Linked DNA regions of Coturnix japonica. The protein of the gene in region 1 binds, or shares a complex with, the protein of each later gene. Links are inferred from orthologs where the notes say so. Each region holds a gene or a part of one and is shown in the gene's direction. Other genes may lie near its edges.

The links. Proteins that work in one complex are often made in the same cells at the same time.
Region 2: the proteins of ubiquitin-conjugating enzyme E2 E2 (region 1) and DET1 are in contact, whole or in part, in a cryo-EM structure (PDB 9BJZ), measured with the Homo sapiens proteins. The link is inferred for Coturnix japonica from reciprocal best matches to the Homo sapiens genes UBE2E2 and DET1. Residues at the interface, in NP_001357154.1 of Homo sapiens: Ala77, Gly78, Pro79, Lys80, Gly81, Arg88, Ser89, Thr90, Gly101, Val103, Phe105, Phe123, Arg124, Thr125, Arg126, Ser134, Gln135, Gly136, Gln194, Trp195, Arg198, Tyr199, Ala200, Thr201; in NP_001137546.1 of Homo sapiens: Arg258, Phe259, Tyr261, Asp264, Thr267, Val268, Phe272, Glu274, Asp289, Pro290, Phe291, Ile292, His297, Arg298, Leu300, Val301, Trp304, Arg305, Phe319, Phe320, Gln321, Phe323, Asp324, Arg327.

Annotation. Positions count from the first base shown.
Region 1 is NC_029517.1:33,816,466-33,822,834, forward strand, and holds part of ubiquitin-conjugating enzyme E2 E2, read left to right. Parts: intron 1-1,948; exon of another isoform or gene 1,949-1,953; 5' UTR 1,954-1,961; coding exon 1,962-2,137; intron 2,138-6,369.
Region 2 is NC_029525.1:11,804,524-11,811,335, forward strand, and holds the start of DET1 (DET1 homolog), read left to right. Parts: upstream 1-2,320; 5' UTR 2,321-2,427; exon of another isoform or gene 2,428-3,020; 5' UTR 3,021-3,049; coding exon 3,050-4,132; intron 4,133-6,812. UniProt on the Homo sapiens protein: Component of the E3 ubiquitin ligase DCX DET1-COP1 complex, which is required for ubiquitination and subsequent degradation of target proteins. The complex is involved in JUN ubiquitination and degradation.

The DNA of each region.
Region 1 (6,369 bases):
GTGCATGCAGGCTTCGTTAAATAGGTTTTTAACTGTCTGGCCTGCAGTGTTAAAGCGTGTGTGTGTGTACATCAGGAAGGGAATTTTCTCTTGAAAATGAGATGTGTTAAGCAAAGTTCAGAACTAAAATCTAAAGTAAATAAAGGCCATCAAAAGTGCTATTGAGAGAGATCAGGTGGTATTTTCGCTGTATGTAGAAGCAAAGAAAACAGGTGCCTACAACCAAAATTGCACTGTCGTTATTAAATGCATATTTTGACTTGTCAGAATATGGTGCTTCTGTGCTCTATTACCTCCCAGTCTTCTATTTGTTTTATCTTTACATCTGACAAGCAGGAGATAAATACAGAGGCATTAACCCATGTAAATATGTTAACTGTGCTCAGTATCATCCTGTAGCTGTACCGCAGGGAAGGTTGTTCTGCTAAGAATGAACAATTTCTTCCTTTAATTTTAGGAGTCAAACATGCTGTTATTTCAGTTGTTTTATGCAGTGAAGTGTAAATTTGTTTTATATAAATTTATGCGAGAAAATAAGTCTCAAAACCCACCATTTTCAAAAATTGAATTTGAACGTAGCATAAACTGAACAAGGCGGAACTGATCCCATATCCATCGCTTGCTATTTCTTGTAGCATCTAAATATGTTGAACATCTCAGGCTTTCAGGGTCTCCTTTCTGTTTAGCTTCAGAAATTAAACCAAAAAACCCCCACCCTTAGTCTTCTCCCTGGAGATTATAATTGTATGATCTCCACGGTGAATAGTTTGGCTCTTAAACTGGGATGGTGTCTGTACCCAAGTAAAAGGGAAAGCAAGTGGAAGTTCACAGCAATTTAAAACTCTGCAGCAGATTCTGGATTTGGTCAGATTCAATCAGAAAAGTCGCTCCGATTTGTGGGATTGTGTGGATGTGAGTGAGGGATGTTGAGGCCTGTGTACCTTGAATGTGGCTCCTTTGCTCTAGAGGAGGGCAGATAACGTGCCCATATCAGCCCCATATTTGGCCCTTAGATATATTGAGGGTTTAGTTTGTTGGTTTGGGGGTTGTTTTGTTTTTTTTTCCAGTTTTCCAGCAGTCATTGCTACCACGTATGCCAATTTATAGACAGTTTTACATGGATGTCTGCTCTTCATTAGAATGCTTTAAGAAGTCCTAACAGCTGTAACTCCTCGTCTGCCATAGTGTTATACTACTTAAAATGAAGGAAACAGTGAAAATAGCTAACTGGTATCAGAAGTGTGTGTGTAAACTGTGACCTCGACTTCTGGAAGCATGTTGGGGTTTCCTGTAGCTTGTGTTCCCTGACAGCTTTGGTGCCTCATGGCAGAGGATACTTTGTATCCCCTCCCAGGATACTTACTGCTCTAGAAGCATTGCATTTAGTAAACACAAACAGTTCTGTGTTAGTGCCTTTTGGTTCTGCAAGCGTTTCCATCCAGTGTGCCAAGATGTGGAGTTTGTAATGTGGAAACCCATGTTAGAGACTTGGAATGAACTCACAGGTTTATTTCATATGGGATAGCAGAGTCTTCAGATAGCAGTAGCTCTGGGTTTTTAACAAACGATGTGAAATGTGAGCTGGTGGCAGAGTGATGAGAAAGCTAACTTATGATATGACCAAGGGGTGGGAAAATCTCTTTTATGGCACTGGTGTAGTACTCACACAATCGTGTTTTGTGCTTAACTGCAGTAACTTGTCATTATCATAAATAACAAATCTGTCCTCTCTTCATATATATTTGTTATGGAATTTGAAACGACCAACTCCTGAATTATTGTTAAGATGTTTATGGCAAAACTCTTCAGTACTAAGATGACTGAAGTGCTGTAATGCAAGTGTTTCAGTATAGAGACACGGATCTTGTGTGTTATTTCCTCCTGCAAGAAATACTGTCTGACATCTTCTTCTGGGAAAGCTGACCTTCGTTGTTTGTGTTTGGTTCAGTGCAGCATCTGCCATGTCTACAGAGGGGCAGAGAGTTGATGACAGTCCGAGCACTAGTGGAGGCAGCTCTGATGGAGATCAGCGTGAAGGCGTTCAGCCTGAACAAGAAAGGGAGCAAGTTCAACCCAAGAAAAAAGAGGGCAAAATATCAAGCAAAACAGCTGCTAAACTGTCAACTAGTGCTAAAAGGTACAGTGTTCTTCTGTCTTTTTCTCTTCCTTTCTTGTTTTTCAGCTGGCCATCAGATGTTATGTAATGGTTCGGTATATTCATTTTCTTACTGTTTTATTGTAGCACTACTGTGTCAGTGTAATAGTCTTCTGAGGCTGGTCACGATAACGAGACCTGTATATTTTTTTTCCTTTCTTTGACAAATTGGCTCTTTCACATGGTTTTAATAGTAGCCTGCATGATAAAAGCTGACATTTTTTTATTGCTAGTAAAACTCAGACAGTTTTGTAGCCTTATAAAATACATCTCTGTATGTGTATGTATGACTGATGTTGAAACTTGTCAGTGTAACTTACAGTTAATTAACCATAAACATTTCAGACAGTTCAGTAACTCAGCATGTTAGGACTACCGTAATACCTATTGCTGTAAAGAACTGCATTCCCTTTTCCCAGATGGTCAGGTCAGAGACATTGAAGTGAACAACAAATGCATGTTGGTTTCATTACTTTAAACTGTGGTCTGTTTTAATACCTATTTCTTTAGCATCTCTTTACTTCTTGAGAGGAAAAGTGGATTTGTAGAACAGCTACTGAAATTATTCTCATGGAATTGTTTCTGTTGGATGGAATTCTTAAGGGTTATCTCGTCTAACTTCTCAGCCATGAACATGGACACCTACAGATAGATCAGAGTGCTCAAAGCCCTGTCCAGCCTGACACTGAACATTTCCAAGACATCTATATGGTCGTGTTCATTTCCAGATAATGACTGTCACGTTTGGTCCAGACCTGGGGAACTTAGTGCTTAGTGTTGCTCCATCAGTACTTACTGGTGTTAGTCCATATAGTAGAGCTCAGATGGGATAACAGTGGTTGTAGTTAAACACTTTTAGCAGAATCTGATGAGATCAACTGTGCAGACTGTCCCAGATTCTGTTTTTCACTAATTCAAGTCAGTGTGAACTGCAAGAAAAAACATTGGAGATGTGCTGCTGTGCGGGGAAAAAAAGAATTGCACATGGAGCCTTGCAAAAAAAAAGGAGAGACCCTTTTGCTGTGATTTATAAAATTCTCCTACGTGCCTACATCTCATCGAGGTTCCAGCCTATGTCTTGGTTTCTTCTGTCCTTTACTATCTGTGTGCTTCTCTGTCCTGGACTCACTTGTCTTTCCAGTGTGTTATTAGCATGCTTCTCTCCTGCCCCAGGCACCTCCCCATGAGGCCTTTGCCTTTTCTCCTTCCACAGCAAGATGCTTTTTCAAGACCCATTCCTAATATGATGCTGTGCGTAGATGACATAGTTGTATTGGTTATAGGATAGCCAACAGAGCGTGCCAAGGTTTCTTTTCACAACTAAAAGAAAAAGAAGTAATAAAAAAAGAAACAAAACCAAAAGCTTTCTCTTCAAGCCATAGTGCTACTCATTTAGTTAATTCCTACAGTTGTTATAGTTTCTGGACTTCTTCTCTTCTGCCTGCTTGCTGCTATTGTTTTTTAGTGTAAGAAATATTGGACTAGACAGGAATATAAAGGTCTCAAATCCAATTTTTAACATGTTAGAGAAGAGTCTGAACTTTGTACAGTGTCTAATGTGATGACTCCGTGATTCCAACAAGGGCCTGTGGACAGTATCCTATTAAAAAATTAATAATGATATGTCAGAAATTGGTCTATTAATCTTAGCTTTGCATCTTCAAAGCTTAGGGCTTTTATCAACATGCATTTCACAGTGATAAAATTACTTAAACCTTTTAAAGTTTAATCATATCTGCTTATGATTCTGCTGAAACTAATTATGCCAGTTGCTGACATCAGTACATTTGCTGGTTAGACTCTAACGAGAGTTTCACGTTTACTAATATTGAAGAAAAGCCTTTGATTACGCATTTTAAAAGCTGAGATGATTTATAAAAGTATAAGGCTTCTGTAGATAAGCGCACAATAAATAGCACTTTTGATAAATGTATTTTCAGGAGTGCTGGTTGTCATAAAACTGGGGAAGAATCACAGTGATATAGTCTTCACATGGTTTAGTTTTTATAGTTGTGTAATCTATTCAGTGGTTTTGTCAGCGTGTTACAATGAGGACAACGTTACTGTAAACATTCTTAATCTGATCTGGTATTTGTATTTAACAGGTTTTGTTTCTTTGCTTTTTGATTAAAAGCTGTAAAACCTCACAGAAGGAAAATCAGAAATTAGAGGATGAGGAAAATATGAAATTAAAGTGGAGGAATGAAAGGAGACGAGTAACATCAAAGAAGGGAAAATATATTATCACGTTCTGTGCCAATGATGTTGTTTTGTGTACTCAGTTTCTGTGATACCTTTTTCATCAGAAATGAATAATATTGTGAGAATAAGGCTATGCTCCTTCAATTGACTATAGTTTTTGACCATTATGGTTTTTTAAATGGAAACAAATTGAAGTAATTTTGCTGTCCTTCTGGAAGGGAAAAAAGACTGGATGTGTGTTCAGCAACTTTTTCCTTTGTTAGCTTTTGAATTCTGTAGTCTTCATGGCATTATACTGAGGTGACAGTAATCTTCACTTAATTAAAACAGGCAACTCTGCTAACATCAGTAAAAAATCCAAACAACAGAGGCTTTAGTAATTAAGGAATTTTGACCAAAGCCTCAACTTATGTTTAGAACAGAGAATGCTAGCAAGTTAATGTAGCACTGGAGATAAATCATTCCCTGGTCTAATTAATAGGCTATGGGCTTTATTCTAACCTGAATTGGGAAGCCACGTTTTGCCACCTGAAGAGACCTTCCTTGTGTACAGAAATATAATCACAGTATTTCTGAATTAATTCTAACCCAGGTAGCATAAAGTAAGAATTTGTTCATTTCTAGTTGGCTTAATTCTGTTCTACTCTCTAATTGTGTGGTTATGTAGACAATTAGATCTACTTTTAAAGATTTTCAGTAGTATTGACTTCATATAAATCAAGATTTAGCAAAGCTCTTTTCCACTTGTGTAAACACCCTGCTATCATGCCTTATGCAGGAGTGTGCTGCTGTAGCAATTTAGTGTTTTTCGAAATGGTTTTGTTATGAAGGGTATGTGAGGCTGCTTAAATGTGCATTTAAGATGCAGTGATTTTGTTTTACTTCTGTTAGCTTTGCTATAGATGGCATTAAGAAAGCAGAATGCCTCCATGCTCAGTCCTTCTCTGTTAATTCTTTTAAGGTTAGCCACTATACAGGTGTAATGGCTTACAGCATATGTTGTACAGTTTCCGGTCCTTCAATTTTCCTCACCCAGAGGGCATCACCCTAAACAGCAACCTTTCTTACCTAACATGTCAAGATTGAGAAACTCACTGCATATCACAATTACAGTTCAGACATGGAATTGAATTGCTGTCCTTGAAAACAGCAGGCATCTTGTTACCTCTTAAGCAGCAAATCTTAGCCTGACCTTTCAATTGAGAGAAGTGTAACCACTCTTGGCTGACACAGTAGCTCGACAAATAAATGTATTGTTTTGCTTCTGAAGTTGATAGTTGAAAATCTGTCAATCTGAGTGTCCAGTTCAGGATTTCTTTTTATAAATATCTGTGCTTACAATGAATTGTGAACTTTAAAATCTCAGCTGTAGGTATATACATATAGCTGTATGTATATATATACACAGAATATTATATATATATAATTGAAAGAAGGAATGCCTACTAGTTAATAGGTTACATTTGTTAGAAATCAGACTAAAATGAGCTTCTTTTTTTCTTCTTAGGGGTGCTTATCATAGTGCTATTTCCAAGGAACCTGCTGACCATGGTAGAAAAACAGATTGTTCTTTCTTATGAGAACTATCCTTGCTGTTTACATGTGCATCTAATATGATGATTGAATATTTTAATTCTTTGAGCATGAATCTGACCATCTTTGGATAAATTTCCTACTCAGTCACAGTTTCTGTGAGACTGAAATTTATACTGGTGATGGCATTTCTTAGTATTTCCTAAAGAACCTGTACTTCAGTATGGAATATTGGTTCGTGTCATTTCCATGAGTAAAGAGGCATGTATCCTAGAAAAGTAGATGTGGTAAAGTAGGTTATTGTCAGATAGTCCTTCTCTGCTTCTTTTCCTTTTAATCCCATTGGGAAATATTCTAACATGTTCAGTTGTCCCTTAGCTTTAGTGAACTTTAACTGTTTCATGAAGGAAACAACAGACAGTCCCCCTAGGCTTGGAACACCAGTAAATATATGTCTGTGAGAATTAATAATATTTGAA
Region 2 (6,812 bases), on another chromosome or scaffold:
CTCTCCTCCATCAGCACAGCGTGGATGAGAGGGGGGGCCACGAGAGGGGAAAGCGATGTGCAGGATCTGGAGAGGGTCTTCGTTCCCTGAGAGCATCCAGGTGAGGAGATGGCCGGGGCTGCGTGAGGCAGGGTGGGAGCAGTGTGTCCTTCCTTTCCTTCTTCAGTCCTCAGCCCCACTGATCCCACAGCACTTGGTACACAGCAGCAGAAAGGTTCTTGCTTCAGTAAACCACCCAAAACATCCCAAATGAGCTCTGCTTATTGTTTTTTAAGCCTCCATGCTTAGCTATGGGGATGGATGGGAAATATCTGTGCAGCACTGGGGCTCATCCCAAGGGATCTGTGATGGGAACGTAGACACATTTGAGGTTTTGAGGTGGAACAGGATGGTTTGTATAGGGGAGCTGATGCTGTCAGCCATCGGAAAGGGCAGATGATGTGCAGCTGGGAGCAGAACTTCAGGTTGTGCCTGAGATGCATTGGGCTGTGCTGGGAATGGCACTATCACCTTTCCCAGCAGCAAATGGGATGGCTCGGAGCAAAGCTTTGTGCAGGCTTCTGTCTGCAACACTCACTTGCTTTCTTTGGGTGCTTTCCACCAAAACCTCCCCCCAGTCCACCTTAGAGCCACCTGCAGCTGTAGGATGGACAAAACCCTTCCTAAAAGAAGAGCAAACCAACCCAATTCCAGCCAATTGCATCCCATCTGAACCCACTGAGCATCCCACCCAGCTCCCTACTCCCAGCCCTCCAGCCTCACTGAGTTTTCTTAAATCCCATCAGCAAACCCCGACAGACAAATGAAAACAAAACTGTTCCCACAAAGGTCTGCTGCCCTGAGCCACAACACGGGGCTGGCCACGGCAATGGAGTTATTAGCTCAGGAGCTCTGATTGCTGCTGTGTTAATGGCTCTTTTGTCCGTTGAACTGCCTGTCTGTGTGTGTGCTGGGCGGTTATTTTCCTGCCAGCTGCCATGTGGTTGGATGCTCTTTGGTATTTAGTTTTATCCTATTAAGGTGGATCCCAATTAATTACACAGGGGGGGGGGGAGGGAAACAAAGAGAAGCGCTGAAGCCATTCATTTTCAGCTTGTCATCGTGTCTCCTGTTGTGGAAAACCACAGGGAAATGGGCACGGACCCCCAGGCCCATAGAGTGGGTCCTTTCCTCATGATCCCATAGGGGATGCAAGGTGCCTCCTTTCCACACACATATATGGGGGCACAAGGTGAGTGGTGGGGTTGTATAGGGGTTATAAAGGTCCCCACTGACCTGGCACCTAACTGCCACCCCCCATTGGGGTGATGTCCCAAGAGCTTTGTGGGGATAGCAATGTCACTCAGTGCTTTATGGGACTGAGGCCCTTCACCCAGGGCTGGCTGCAGCACAGTGACCAGTGTGGGTGAGCACGTCCCCAGCAGGTTTATGGGCTCAGTTATGCAGGTTTATGGGTGTGTAGACTTATAGGAGCGCAGGAGGGATGTAGGCTGATAGGGCCACAGGGATGTAGTTCTGAAGGGGTGGAGGATGGGTGCAGGTTTATGGGGGTGTGTGATTATGGGTTTCAGGATAGGTGTAGGGCTGTAGTGATGCCTGTTTATGGGTGTGCAGGGCTATAGAGATGCATGCTATAGGGATGCAGCATTTGTGCAGGTTTTTAAGGGTGAGGGGCTACAGGGCTAAAGCAGTGCAGGGTTATAGGGGTGCAGGATGGATGCACATTTATGGGGGTGAGGGTTTATTGCTTGCAAGCTGCAAGATTATAGGGGTTTAGGATGGGTGAAGGGCTATAGGGGTGTGGATTTATATGTGTGAAGGGCTATAGGGGTGTGGATTTATATAGGTTCAGGGCTATAGGGGTGCAGGGCTATAGGGTTGCAGGTCTGTAGGGTTGCAGGTCTGTAGGGTTGCAGGGCTGTAGGGTTGCAGGGCTGTAGGGTTGCAGGCTATAGGGTTGCAGGGCTATAGGGGTGCAGGGCTATAGGGGTGCAGGGCTATAGGGGTGCAGGGCTATAGGGTTGTAGGCTATAGGGCTGCAGGGCTGTAGGGCTGTAGGGCTGTAGGGCTGTAGGGCTGTAGGGCTGTAGGGCTATAGGGTTGTAGGCTATAGGGTTGCAGGGCTGTAGGGTTGCAGGTCTATAGGGGTGCAGGGCTATAGGGTTGTAGGCTATAGGGGTGCAGGGCTATAGCGTTGCAGGGCACGTTTCAGTCCGTTCCCGCTGTACGCGGACGCCCCGCAGCGCTCCTCCCTCCGCCAGGGGGCGCTCTCTCTCTCTCTCTCTCGCTCTCTCTGCGGACACTCTGGTACGCACCTCCTCGCTGCTCCACCGACCGGAAGCGGAAGCGGGCGTTGAGGGTGACGCCTTCTCGCCGCCGTCGCGGTGCGTCGTTGTGTGGTGGCGGCAAGATGGCGGCGGCCATACAGTAAGAGGCGGCGGCGGCGGCGGGTCCAGCGCCGGGCTCCGTTGGTGAGCGCGGCCTGCACCCTTCGTGGGCTCCGCCACACCGTGGCTTCCAGGCCCGGGGGGCTCCGAGCTCCTCTGTGCCCCGAGGGCCCGGACCTGAGCCCCAGTTCCCTGCGGGGCAGAGGCAGAGCGGCCCCCGGTCCGCAGGCTCCAGTCAGGCCGCTCGTTGATCCTCCTGTTCCCGGTGACCCACAGGCCGCCCCGTTTCCCCCCGGGCTCCCTCTGTCCCCGCTGTCCCGGCTGCTCTCACCCCCATCCCGGTGCTGCCGTGTCCCTTCATTCCGGTGGTACCCACGTATGTGTGCTGCCTTCCTCGGCTCCATCCTTCCCTGTGCCCTGCAGGCTGTTCTGCAGGTCCCATCTCCCTGCTGGGTTCTCTCTGGGTACCTCCTGCTGTCCCCGTTATGTCCCACTGAACCCCCTCTCCCAGTCCGTCTCCCAAAGGCTTTTTCAGCTGCCCCCACCTTTATGGGATTGTGAGTTTGCTCGCAGCTCCATCTCTTGTTATCAGCCTTGGTGAGGTCCCACGGTGAGTGTGTGCACCATCTGCAGCAGGGTGAAGATGAAGTAATGCTCTGACCATGGACCATGATGCCCCCACAATCAAGCCTCGCCGCATTCAGAACCAGAACGTCATCCACCGCCTGGAGCGCCGTCGGATCAGCTCTGGCAAGGCTGGCACCCACTGGCACCAGGTCCGTGTCTTCCACCAGAACGTCTTCCCCAACTTCACCGTGGTCAATGTGGAGAAGCCTCCCTGCTTCTTGCGCAAGTTCTCCCCTGATGGGCGCTACTTCATCGCCTTCTCCTCCGACCAGACCTCCCTGGAGATCTATGAGTATCAGGGCTGCCAGGCGGCTGAGGACCTCCTGCAAGGCTACGAGGGGGAGATCCTGGCTAATGGCAATGACCAAAGATCTGTCAACATCCGAGGGCGGCTCTTTGAGCGCTTCTTCGTCCTGCTCCATATCACCAATGTGGCCTCTAATGGGGAGCACCTGAACCGCGAGTGCAGCTTGTTCACTGACGACTGTCGGTACGTCATCGTTGGCTCTGCTGCTTACCTGCCTGAGGAGCCTCACCCTCCCTTCTTTGAGGTCTATCGCAACAGTGAGTCGGTGACCCCCAACCCTCGCTCCCCTCTGGAAGATTATTCCTTGCATATCATTGACCTCCACACGGGCAGACTCTGTGACACGAGGACTTTCAAGTGCGACAAAGTCATCCTCTCTCATAACCAGGGGCTGTACCTGTATAAGAACATCTTGGCCATTCTCTCTGTGCAGCAGCAGACTATTCACGTCTTTCAGGTGACGCCCGAGGGGACTTTCATCGATGTGCGGACAATCGGCCGCTTCTGCTATGAGGATGATCTCCTGACACTGTCTGCAGTGTATCCCGAGGTGCAGAGGGACACTCAGACGGGGATGGCAAACCCCTACAAAGAGCCCTTCATAAACTCTTTGAAGCACAGGCTGCTGGTGTACCTGTGGAGAAGGGCAGAGCAGGACGGCAGCGCAATAGCAAAGAGGAGGTTCTTCCAATACTTTGATCAACTGAGGCAGCTCCGCATGTGGAAGATGCAGCTTTTGGATGAGAACCACCTGTTTATCAAATACACTAGTGAAGATGTAGTGACGCTGCGGGTAACAGATCCTTCCCAGGTATTGCCTGCCACCTGGGGCTCCCTGTTGCTTGGGGGCAAATGCTCTCAAGCAGGTTCAGTGCTGTGAGCGGCATTTTGTAGCTGAGCCTGTGAATGTTCACTAGATGTGCTGTTTAGGATCCCATTACTTCATTCTTGCGTGAACATTTGACACCCTTGGTATTGAATAACTTCAGTATCTTTTGCTCTCACGATTTCACCACATTCTTTGCAACTGAAAATGAGGCAGAAAAGATCTTAGGTGTTATCGAGTCCCCTTTCTCCAGGGATTGTTCCCTGTGCTCAGAAGTGCTTCACAGTGCCCTTTCCCTCCTAAATCCCCAGCTGATTTTTTTAGCTGCTATTTCATGTAATACACTCGCATTGTAGAGGTAGTCTCTCCCTTTTCTTCTGCATCTTCGAGCATGTTTTTCAAATATAATATCTCCATTTTTCACCAGTAGAATTACCTTTTCTATGCTGCCTACGTACTTACTCTTTCAGGCTTCTGTCAGAGCTAGTATTTATGATCTCTCCAAATTGAAGTAGCAGCTCTTAAATCCAGCTAATGTGCCAATTGCTTTTCCTTTCTGTTTAGTACTAAAGAAGTCAAATTAGAGTAAATGTAGCTCAGATGGTGCTGGGTCCCTCCAGGCTTTTCACCATCCCACGTGTTGATCATCTCTTTTCACCACTGTTACTGTTACTCAGTCTTTGAGCTGTGTGAAGCTGAGCAAGGTATTTTTCACATTAACCTACTTTAGTCCTTTGCTCTGTGCCGTTTGGTTGTTTGTTATGGAAGTATTTGGCAAAAACAATTAATAAATCTCTACCTCTGAAGTTTGTCAGGTTCTTCCCTAGGTGCTTGTTTATCCTTCCCATCCCATCCTTCCCATCTTACTGGTTCCACTACTTAGACCCTAAAATAAATGGGCAGTAATTCTTGGTGACCATGATTTCCCTTTTATGTTTGTTTTGGGGTAACTATTTTAGGAGGGAATAAATGAGGCTAAAACTGTTTTTACCCACTGGTGTAAAATGGGAGTGGCTGTCTCAGGAGCGTGAAAGCTTTGCAGTGTGTTGCTTGTATTTAGAGTGGTGTTCCTGACCCAAGCCTCAGGCCACCCCAGTGTGAATGTTAGTGGGAGTGTCAGCTCTGCTCCCTGCTGCGGTTTTGTGCCTGCTTTGCTCCAACCTGTTCTTGATTTGCTTCACCTGAAGGTTACTTTTAGCTACAAATTGTGGCTTGTTTGTGCCGTTCCTCAGGTGATGTATTTTCTGCTGGAGGGAAGCATCTTCTTTCTTTCTTCTTTCTTTCAGAGGATAATTCCAGATGTGGAGCAGCCTGACCTGCCCGAGTTTAGTCTTGGCGTTAGGGCTTCGTGAAGAACACTTTGGTCACAGAATACCTAAAGCTCCCATTTATTTCTTTCATCTATCAGGGCAGGACATGAGTCTGGTTTCAGGATCCTCTGTTCCTTTAGGCTCCTCTGCTAAGGAGGCTGAGGAAGTTGCTGTTCACACTTGCAGGTTGCCTATATGTTGCTGTGTATATGTAGCTTAGGGGTTGTTGTTCCTGGCTTGTATTTCAGCTTAGCCAGCTTTGCTGTGTGCTTTTTGTAACTGCTGTCTGTACCATGTTTACGCTTTGCCTGTGTCACAGGTGCTGCTAAAATGTAGGGAGAAACATTTCTCTGGTTGAGGGCATCTCTGTGTTGAGGGCAATGGAACTTCTTTATTTAGGGCTGGAGGAGATTCCCCGCAGTTTTATAAGATGTAAATAGTTTCTACTTCTGCTGTCTCCTCTTATTTTCTCTCTGCTCCAAAGCTGTATTTCAGGAGGGCTTTCCTTTCCTCAGGCAGTTCAGTGAGTAACCTCATTCAGCGTGCTTCATTTTAACGTGTGGGGGTCGGGTTGTACCATCACCATTTATTTTGGGTCCGTAAAACAAGTAAACCTTGTGATATTTACAGATGGATGAGGTGGGCAGGATACCTGCCGTCATCGCTGAGCATTGACTGGGAGCAGGATGTGAAGCATTCAGAAATGGTGTTTATGAGCTGATATGTGCATATCAGTGAATTAGTTACATCTGAAGGAGGGACAGGCTTTGTAGTACTGGAAATCCAGCCCTGTCCTGTTTAATGAAAGCTACGTTTGGTGACCAAGAATTAAATATGCCCCTTCCTGGTGAGATGGGAATGTCCTTTCCCTTTATTGTAGCTGTGCTGGTACACACACGGTGTTTTTCTCCACCTCTGGCTTGTTGATGCTGTGAAGCACTGACATTGCTGATGTACAATACAGCACCTGGGCTTTCTTGCATGAGAATGATATTAAAAAGAAGTTGTTAATGTCTTTCAGATGTTCATTTCTACATCAGCAGGGTATCAGAAGGGCCCAGCTTTTTGTAAGCAGTGGTGTAGTGCACAACGCTCTGGAAAGGCTCATCCCTGTGTGGTGGAAATAGTAAGAAGGGAGAGCAAATAATTTCTCTGCATAAAGGAAAGGATGATTTGTTGCCAGCCAGCGCTGGGTTTAAAATCATTTTGTCAGCAGGAATGAAAATTAAATTTGGCACTTCAGATTTGGTGGAGGGCAGAGAGGGAGAGGAAACAGAAATATTGACATCCAGTTTGAGAAGGAAAATTGGAAGCCCATTCAGTTATGTTTTTTTTTTCCCCCATGAATAACGACA